Cricetulus griseus: one gene and its partner. Each later gene encodes a partner of the first gene's protein in a complex. Links are inferred from orthologs where the notes say so. Each region holds a gene or a part of one and is shown on either strand. Other genes may lie near its edges.

The links.
Region 2: Snrnp40 (region 1) and Lsm8 share a complex: the UniProt entries of both Homo sapiens proteins name them as parts of the U4/U6-U5 tri-snRNP complex. The link is inferred for Cricetulus griseus from reciprocal best matches to the Homo sapiens genes SNRNP40 and LSM8.

What each region holds. Positions count from the first base shown.
Region 1 is NC_048595.1:22,689,899-22,694,119, forward strand, and holds the start of Snrnp40 (U5 small nuclear ribonucleoprotein 40 kDa protein), read right to left. Parts: upstream 2,801-4,221; 5' UTR 2,746-2,800; coding exon 2,602-2,745; intron 1-2,601. UniProt on the Homo sapiens protein: Required for pre-mRNA splicing as component of the activated spliceosome. Component of the U5 small nuclear ribonucleoprotein (snRNP) complex and the U4/U6-U5 tri-snRNP complex, building blocks of the spliceosome.
Region 2 is NW_023276806.1:207,804,434-207,808,382, reverse strand, and holds the start of Lsm8 (LSM8 homolog, U6 small nuclear RNA associated), read left to right. Parts: upstream 1-1,149; 5' UTR 1,150-1,270; coding exon 1,271-1,301; intron 1,302-2,221; coding exon 2,222-2,262; intron 2,263-3,949. UniProt on the Homo sapiens protein: Plays a role in pre-mRNA splicing as component of the U4/U6-U5 tri-snRNP complex that is involved in spliceosome assembly, and as component of the precatalytic spliceosome (spliceosome B complex).

The DNA of each region.
Region 1 (4,221 bases):
ATGGCACCTCTGCTCACAGAACTCCTGCCTTTCACTGGATAAACCTTTGGACATTCCAGCATATGCTCACCATACCACTCTCCTCCCCAACTCTGCTTTTGTTCCACAGCCAACTTCTGACTGCTTAATCATGCTGACTTCACTTATACCTCAGGATCTTAACAAGGAAAAATGTCTCCCACAGAGCTCTCCTGCTATTGGGCTCCTTTTAAATATTTCCTCCCCAGAGTCTTTCTTTAACAGTCAAACTTAAGTAGCAGCCATCTCCCCACCAGTATTCCATTAGGTTTAGTGCTGCCTCAAGTTTCCTTCCTCATGTCATTGCTGACATGCTTCTTTTTCCCCAAATAAATGAAGCTCTGGGAGTGCAGGAACAACATTTCTCAGACTAGTTCACCCACCTAGCCTTTGAAAAACCCTGCATAGTACAACTTACTATGCAAAATAGATTTTAGGGGTATGAGCAGCGCTTTGATAAGTAGCTCAGGCTGGTCTTAAATTTTCAGTCCTCCTGAGTGCTGGTAATAATACAAGTGTGAATTGCTATGCTTGGTTTGGCAAAGCAGTTTCTGATTAGGGTCTTGGACGCTAAGCCTGTTTGGCAAGTCTTCCAACCCTGGGCTGACAGTGTTACTTGGCAAATAAGTGTACTACCAAAAATAGTCCTGAAATCTCTTTGGTAGGTTCCAGTGTACTAACTTATATTTATTATCATGTATTAACTATGAAAAGTAATGTAAATAATGTACCATGAGCATATTTATCTAGTGTAATTATTGAAAATAACACATGTGTACCACAGAGATGGCCCAGTAGTTAGAGAGCACTTACTGCTCTTCCAGAGGTCCCGAATTCAGTTCCCAGTACCACACTAGGCAGCTTTCAAGTGCCTGTAGCCCTAGGTTCAGAGGATTCAACAATCTCTTCTGGCCTATGAGGGTACTCACACATACATACAGACATACGGATAAAAATAAACCTAATATATCTAGGCACTGGGGAAACAGCACTCAATAAAACAATGAACTGTGCATTCTGGTGGAAAGTGAGTGAGAGAATGGGAAAGGAAACAAAACAAAAAACAAGCAGAACACCTAGTGTTGCATGCAATGGAAAAAAATATGAGTACCAGAGTACAGGGTACTTTAACTTAAAATACAGTGGCCAGGAGAGCCCACTGAAAACAGGCATCTGAACCAAGATTTGAAAGAACCAGTAGTTAAACATGTGGGCATTTGGAGTAATATTCCAGCATATGCAACAACAGCAACAGAATTAACAGCACACAGGCTGGTGTTATTTGAGAAGGATGACATGCTAGAAAACGGGTACATGAGCATAGAAAAGGGGTTATTACACAGAATTTGATTTTTCTTTAATTTGGAATGAAATAGCCAACACAATATTTTCAGCAGAGAATCATGTGATTTAATGTTGTGGTGATTCTCCTGGCTACCAGACTAATAATTGATCCTTGATTCAAAGGCAAAACCAGAAATACTAATTAAGCCCCACCTGCAATGATGCCAGATGACATAAAAGTTTGACTAGGAGGTAAGGATTTCAGGTAAACAGTTCTCTTCCGTTCAACAAAAGAGTTTTGCTATAATAGCCTACACTGGCTTGGAACCCTTGACCCTCCTGTTCAGCAGCTTGAGTGTAAATTTGTGTGTGTCCAGCTTTTTATTTACTTATTTTTGAGTCAGCGACCTTGCTGTGTTAAAAAGTAAGTTAGTACACCGGAATCTACCAAAGACATTTCAGGATTACTGGTGGTACACTTATTCTTACTTGACAAGTAGGATTGTCAACCCAGAGTTGCAGGCTTGGCCTCCAACTCCTTCCCTCAAAATTTTCTTGTCAGCCTTCTGAAAAGATGCAACTACAGCCCTACACCCCTTGCCAATTTTATTTACTTATTTTAATGACCACACCAGCAGAATTGAGAGTTGGGACAGGAGGCACATTTATTTCCGTATCTGAAACTAATATCATAGTAGTGAGGGCATGATCACTATTTTACAAGAAATGCCATTAGGAGCTTAGCTTCTAACTCAAAGAAGTTTGCTTTCCCTATATGCAAAATAACAGCTCCTTTCGGGCTGTTACCAAGATTAATGGAAATTTCTCATGCAAAACAGCTAACACTCGAGCCAACGGATATTAATTACTGTTAATAATGCAAAATCAGAAAAAGAGAAAAGTAAATTGTACCAGATGGCAGAGAGAGCCTGTATCATTCATTTCCCTTGCTTCCCTTCCCATTCATTCATTCATTCATTCATTCATTCGTCCACTCTACAAACTTTTCTGAATGTTTATTTTATGCTGAATCCCTGAAGATTTAGGATGCGGAACTTTGGATCCTGATTTTTGAGGCCAAGGTTTTAAATGATTCACTGCTACTTCACAGGGCGATTCAAAGGCTGGAAACAGGCGTCCGACAGGGACACATGTATGAAACAGACGCAGAACACACGGCACGTATGTAAACAGAGGCCTGCTTTCACTTCAGCTTCTCTGTCTTTCCGTTCCCGCAGCGCCGGGAAGGTCTATTGGGAGAGGAGCGGAGGGCCGAAGAAGGGATGCCTCCCCACTTACCGCCTGCAGCAAAGCTCCCGGAGTCGCCTGCGGCTGTCCGGCTCCGGGGCCGGCCCCCGCGGCTCCCAACAGCAACTCATGTCGCGGCCGCTTGACAGGAACCAGTGGCAGCTCCGGGCCCTTGCGTTTTGGCTGCTCGATCATGGCGGTAGCCACTCTCTTCGGCGCCGCCACTGACCGCGCCGCCGGCCGCAGCCGCCGCGCAATTGGCTCCAACTGAGTTCTTCCTCCAGAACTTCCGGAGAGGAGCAACCAATCGGCTCCCAACATTCTCTTCTGCAACGCCCTCTGAATGCGCTCTTGCGATTGGTCCGTTCTTGATGACGCCACGAGGGCTCAGCTCTGGGATTGGGGCGTGTAGTGACGTCCCCCCTAGGCGCGCTGTGCATTGTGGGTTGGGAACGAGCGGAGCAGGTTAGGCGTTCTTGGCGATGAAGAGGCTGCCAGGCTAGGAGCTGGCGCGGAGTAAGTGTGCGGGGAACGAGGACGGTAGCTGTTCTAATCTGCGACTAGGTGATGGGCCCGAGCCTAGCATTCTCGGCTGACGGTCCTGCCGTGGGGGTAGGGGAGCGTTCTGGAAAGAGTAGTCCCTTGGCAGGCTAGAGCGGAGCTTTGGGATCTCTGACCGCAGGACTGGAACCCTAAGGCCGCTGTCCCTTGACAGCTAGCTGCTCTGCACAACGCCGCTTTTGCTTCCAGCGCTGTACTAGCGTGATGCCCGACTCCCGGCCTCCCGGCTTCAGTGCCGGGTTTGGCTGAGGAGGCGGACTTAGTTTATACCATTGGTTCAACCGTCTTTTTTTAAGGGCTTAATTTATGCCCCCAGACAGACAGTGATGGAGGAAGTATCCGATGGTTCCTCCAAAGCATAATTTTGTTGAGAAATCTAAGGTCCATGCTTGTGTACCAGGCCTTCTCATAAGCGATCCAAGTGGCGTTTATCGTGCAGAGCGTTGGAGGACACTGAAGAAACATGTTCTCTAACTTCAGGGCTTTAGTGTCTCTTGGGGTGTGTGTGGGAAACATTTTAAACTAATCTCACCAGTTGATTGGAAGACTAGCGAAGAGAGCGATGCCTCATGCTGTGAGTAACTAATGAGCTTGAAGGATTTTCAGAGGAAAAGATGCCTGAGCTGTTGCCGTTTGATCGGACAGTTCTAATTCGGGGAAGAGAGGAAGAAGGCAGAACGTTCTTCACAGAACAGCGTGTGCAGTAGTGCCCTATCATTTGGGAAGATGACTAAGAGGCACGAAGAGCCAGTATGCTGAGAGAGCACTTGAAGGGGGTTATGGTACGAGATAACCTGGGGGTCATGAAGATTTGCAGGAATTTGTAGCTTTAACTTTACAATTAATAGGAAACCAATGAAAATTTTGTCTCCCCTCCAGGGCGTGGGATGTGGAGGAGGAGAAGGCTTGCTCCTTCAGGCTTAATGGTGTTATGAGATTGGAGAGAGGAGGGGAGGTTTATTGGAGGCAAATGGACCACTTTGGGAGCATGCACTGTAGTTCTGATCAGCAATGTCAGTGAGAACCTAGCTGAAGGTGGAGCTGAAGACAGTTTTACAGTATCTTGGGGATAGCTGGGAAGTAAATTAGATAGGATTTGGTAATGGACTG
Region 2 (3,949 bases), on another chromosome or scaffold:
AGTACCCACTTTCGACTGAGGGGTGTTTTTAAAAGGGAAAATTGTAGGGCTGGAAGCCCCAAGATTACATAACTTCAGTAGTTACACAGGACAGGACAAAGATTGTTATGCTTCATGCAAGGTTTAATTAAGCAGGATACTGCAGAGGAAATGGGTTTGTTAATAGTCTCCTGGGCTGGGGACTTCTACAATTGATAACTATCTGATCCTCTTTGGACCAGAGGAATGTGAGTGCCATTCTAGGGTGTGATATCTGGTCTAAGGGCTTGAGTCCTGAGGCCCTTTGTTTAACCTTGTCTGCTGGACTGCTTTTTGGGAACTGAGTTTTCTTTTTGGGCTTTGGAGTCTGGGTTTTAGATTTTATTAATTTTCCCCTTTCAACACACACTAAAATTTTAAAATATTGGTTATGTACGGTTGACTGACTAACACATTTGTACAGCATCTAAGTGAAATCAGATCAAGAGGAGTTTAAGTGACTTTACAACAGGGACATCAATTATCAGGGATAGAATTAGAACCCAGCCTGGTGCTTAGTTTACGCTTTCCTCTAATCGGTCCCTTCAGAGTGGCAATGTAGACTTTCTTAATTACAACTTTCATCCCCAAGAAAAGCTAAGCCTCGATTTAGCCGTGCAAAGTGACCATCTATCGCGCACACCTTTCCCTCTCTGGAGTTCGTTTCCTTAAGGCTGCTTCGTGACACCTGAAGAGCCAAAAGCAGAATGCACGAGCACTTTTGATAGCTGGGCTCTCCCTGGAAATGCACCTCGTGCGGGCTACAAAGACGTTCGCTTTGCACCGCGCCATTTGTCTTTCGGAACTTTTTTTTGGCTCGCGCTGGAGAAGGCTAGAGCTCCCTTCCTCCCAAGGACGAGCAAACATCTCATCTAGGGCGTCTCCGGCACAGCCGATCTTCCCACACGACCGCGGCTCCCGCCCCTCCGCTGGCGAGCCTCCCAGCGCCTGCATCCAGCCCACACTTCCGCCCGTCCCCGCCTTTGTCCGTCTCCCTCTACCGACCGGCACCCGGAAGCGCGGCGGATGCACGCTGCGCACGCGCGCGAGTCAGTCCCCGCCCGGCTTCCGGTTTGGTCGGCTCCTTGCGAGTGCCGATTGGCTGCTAGGTACTCGTTGGTCTCGCGGTATCTGTGCTCACCGGCGGGCGGGCGGGCGGCGGGAACCGGTACGTGCTTCTGGCGGCCCGGCCGTGTCTCGTCTCCTTGTTGCCGGGTTGTCTCCTGTTCCCGGGACCTCCGGGCCCAGCAGCATGACGTCTGCCTTGGAGAACTACATCAACCGTATCCTCGGGCGGCTGCCCAGGCCGCGGCGGGGCGGGGCGGGGGCGGAGACCCGGGGCGGCGGGGAGGACTCGGGGTTCGGGACCGGCGGTGGGGTCATCCGGACAGACCCGGGCCCTTTTCACCCGGCACAGCTTCCCTGCAAGGAGCCTTTGGCTGGATTGCTGCAGATCCCTTAGGGCTTGTGCGGGCCAGCGTCGGGAATAAGTTGGACCGGTTTTCTCAGGGCTTGCGGTTGGCTCGAGGCTCGCATGCATAGAAAGGTGCTTGGTTCTCCAAGGTGAATTTCGGGCCCCCCCTGGAAGTGTCCATGCGATACCCTTAGAAGGAAAGCCTGGAATCGTGTTGGGCTTCAGTGACAGGCAAGGAGCTCTTAAGATCCCAGGTGAGATTTTAAATTACAAGCGCTGCTGCAAAGTCAGGACAGAAACCGTGCACCGAGCACATCTGGTACAGACAAGAAACTCAGGCGTTCAAAGCAGAGAGCTTTTAAGGAATCCAGGGTTGTTTGTACTTGGTGGCATTAATTATGACCAGGTCTTGGACTAGGGGAGGGGGCTTAACGCGCCACAACGGTGCAACATTGATAGTTACGCGTCCAGTTTTTATTTCAGAGGTGAAGACATTGGTCTGAGAAAGGAAGGGATTGTATCTCTCAGTGTTAGGGATTGGAACCCATTGCTGTTTTAAACCCAGGGTCAGATGTCAGACTCTACCCTTCTCCCATTAGATTTACTGTTTTCAGGATAGAATTGAAACAAGTTTCAAACCTTCAGTTTTGTACCTCGTGAGCAGCGGCTGTGTCGAACCTTCATACCGCCACTTTTTTCTTTTTTAAGTAATTGAGACCATTTCCTTACCAGGCTGAAAGTTTTCACTCTGCAATCTCTAAGAAATACTTTCCTTGACGCAGTTCTCAGGAACCGTCGCCGTTATCACTTCTGATGGGAGAATGATTGTGGTGAGTGGCATTTTCAGTCTGCTTCTTTGTAGGCTTATTGATTGTAAATTTGAAGTTACGTTTCTAATCTAATGCTGAGGTACCACGGTATAACCTCGATTCTAGTGTTCTTATGATCCAGCTGTTTTATTTTTTTAAGAATGTTTAAATTTAAAGTACACAGTGTTCTGCCCGCATGTATGCTGGAGATCCAGCTGTTTTGACAGACTTTTATCTCTTGGCTGTCAATACAGCTTCCCTAATAAACCTTGAAGTCTTCTGATCTGGAATGCAGAGCTGTGCCGACTAATTTTCTTCTTGCATTCTTTTTTTTTTTTTTAACCTCAATTCCTTTTGTTTGTTTTCATTTAGAGCTCTTTAAGGATTTACAAATTATGCATATGCTCTTGTAAGTTGCTTAACAATGGGGAGATCCAATCTGAGAAATGTGTATTCAGTGATTTCATTGTTCTTCAAATATTGTGAGAGTGGTTTCAGAAACTAAGTTAGCTGTGACTTCACTGGGGTATGATCTTTGGGACCATTGCCTCATCTACTGTCTCTGCAATATTTCTTTCACGGCTGTAATTTAATCCCATGTTTTCCCATTCGTGATTTTGTTTTCTTAAAGATTTATTTTTAGTTAGGTTTGAGTGTATGTCTGTTTGTTAGTGTCTGCCATGTGTGGTGGTACACTACACAAGGAGCCCAGAAGAGTTGTCAGATCCACTGGAGCTGGAGTTACAGGCCATTGTGAGCCACACTAGGTCCTTTGGAGGAATAGTATATACTTTTAACCATTTCTTCAGCCTCCTTATCTTCTTCTGAATCCCTTTGATTCTTCTTGCTCTTTAGTGAGCAACACCAGTCAAAGTGATAGACTGCCATAGTAATTGCAGTGCTTATCATATGCTAGGAATTTTGTGTTATTTAGTCTGCAAGGAATCTCAAGAAGAATTATCACTTATATTGTAGATTAGGAACCAGGCTTAGAAAAAAAAAAAAAAAAAAAAAAAACCAAGTTACTTTCACAGAGATTCAGTATAACAAGTGTGTTATAAATTGAGTTTTATTCCAAAACCCATAAAGGAAACAGGTGTCTTAAGGTTTTTTGTTTAGTGGTGGTGAGTTTACACTCTAAATTTGTCAACAGTAGGCAATTTGGAATGTGAAATTAGGAATATGTTTGTTTAAACATTGAAAGAAGTCTGTTGCATTTATCAGATAATTTACAAATAACTGATTTTTGAAATCCTCAGGTTTAAATTTCTTATATTTCTGTTAGAAAATGCTTATAGAAGAAAAGCTAAACAGAAACTTTGTATTGACACTCAGTAGTTCTGTCTTTATCGTACCTGATAAAATAATTGCATATATAATGAAGATGAGAGCACCTTTATAGGGGTTTATGATAACTACCATTTGCCAAGTGCTATAATAAATAGTCTAATTTGTTTTTCTTCCCAATTTCTACATTCCAAGTTTCTATTTATTTCATTCAGATTCTATACAATTATGGTTTTTCAGAACAGGGGGGTTTAAAGGTGTACCCAAGAGATTAACCAGCCAAATCTAAAAGAAGCTATTTCTTCAGAAACTTAAACAGCATTCATTATATTACATTTTGCTATAGCCACAAAATTTTTCCTGAGTATTTCCTTCAAGTTAAGTTCTTGATTATTTTGGTTCTACATATGTCTACTATATT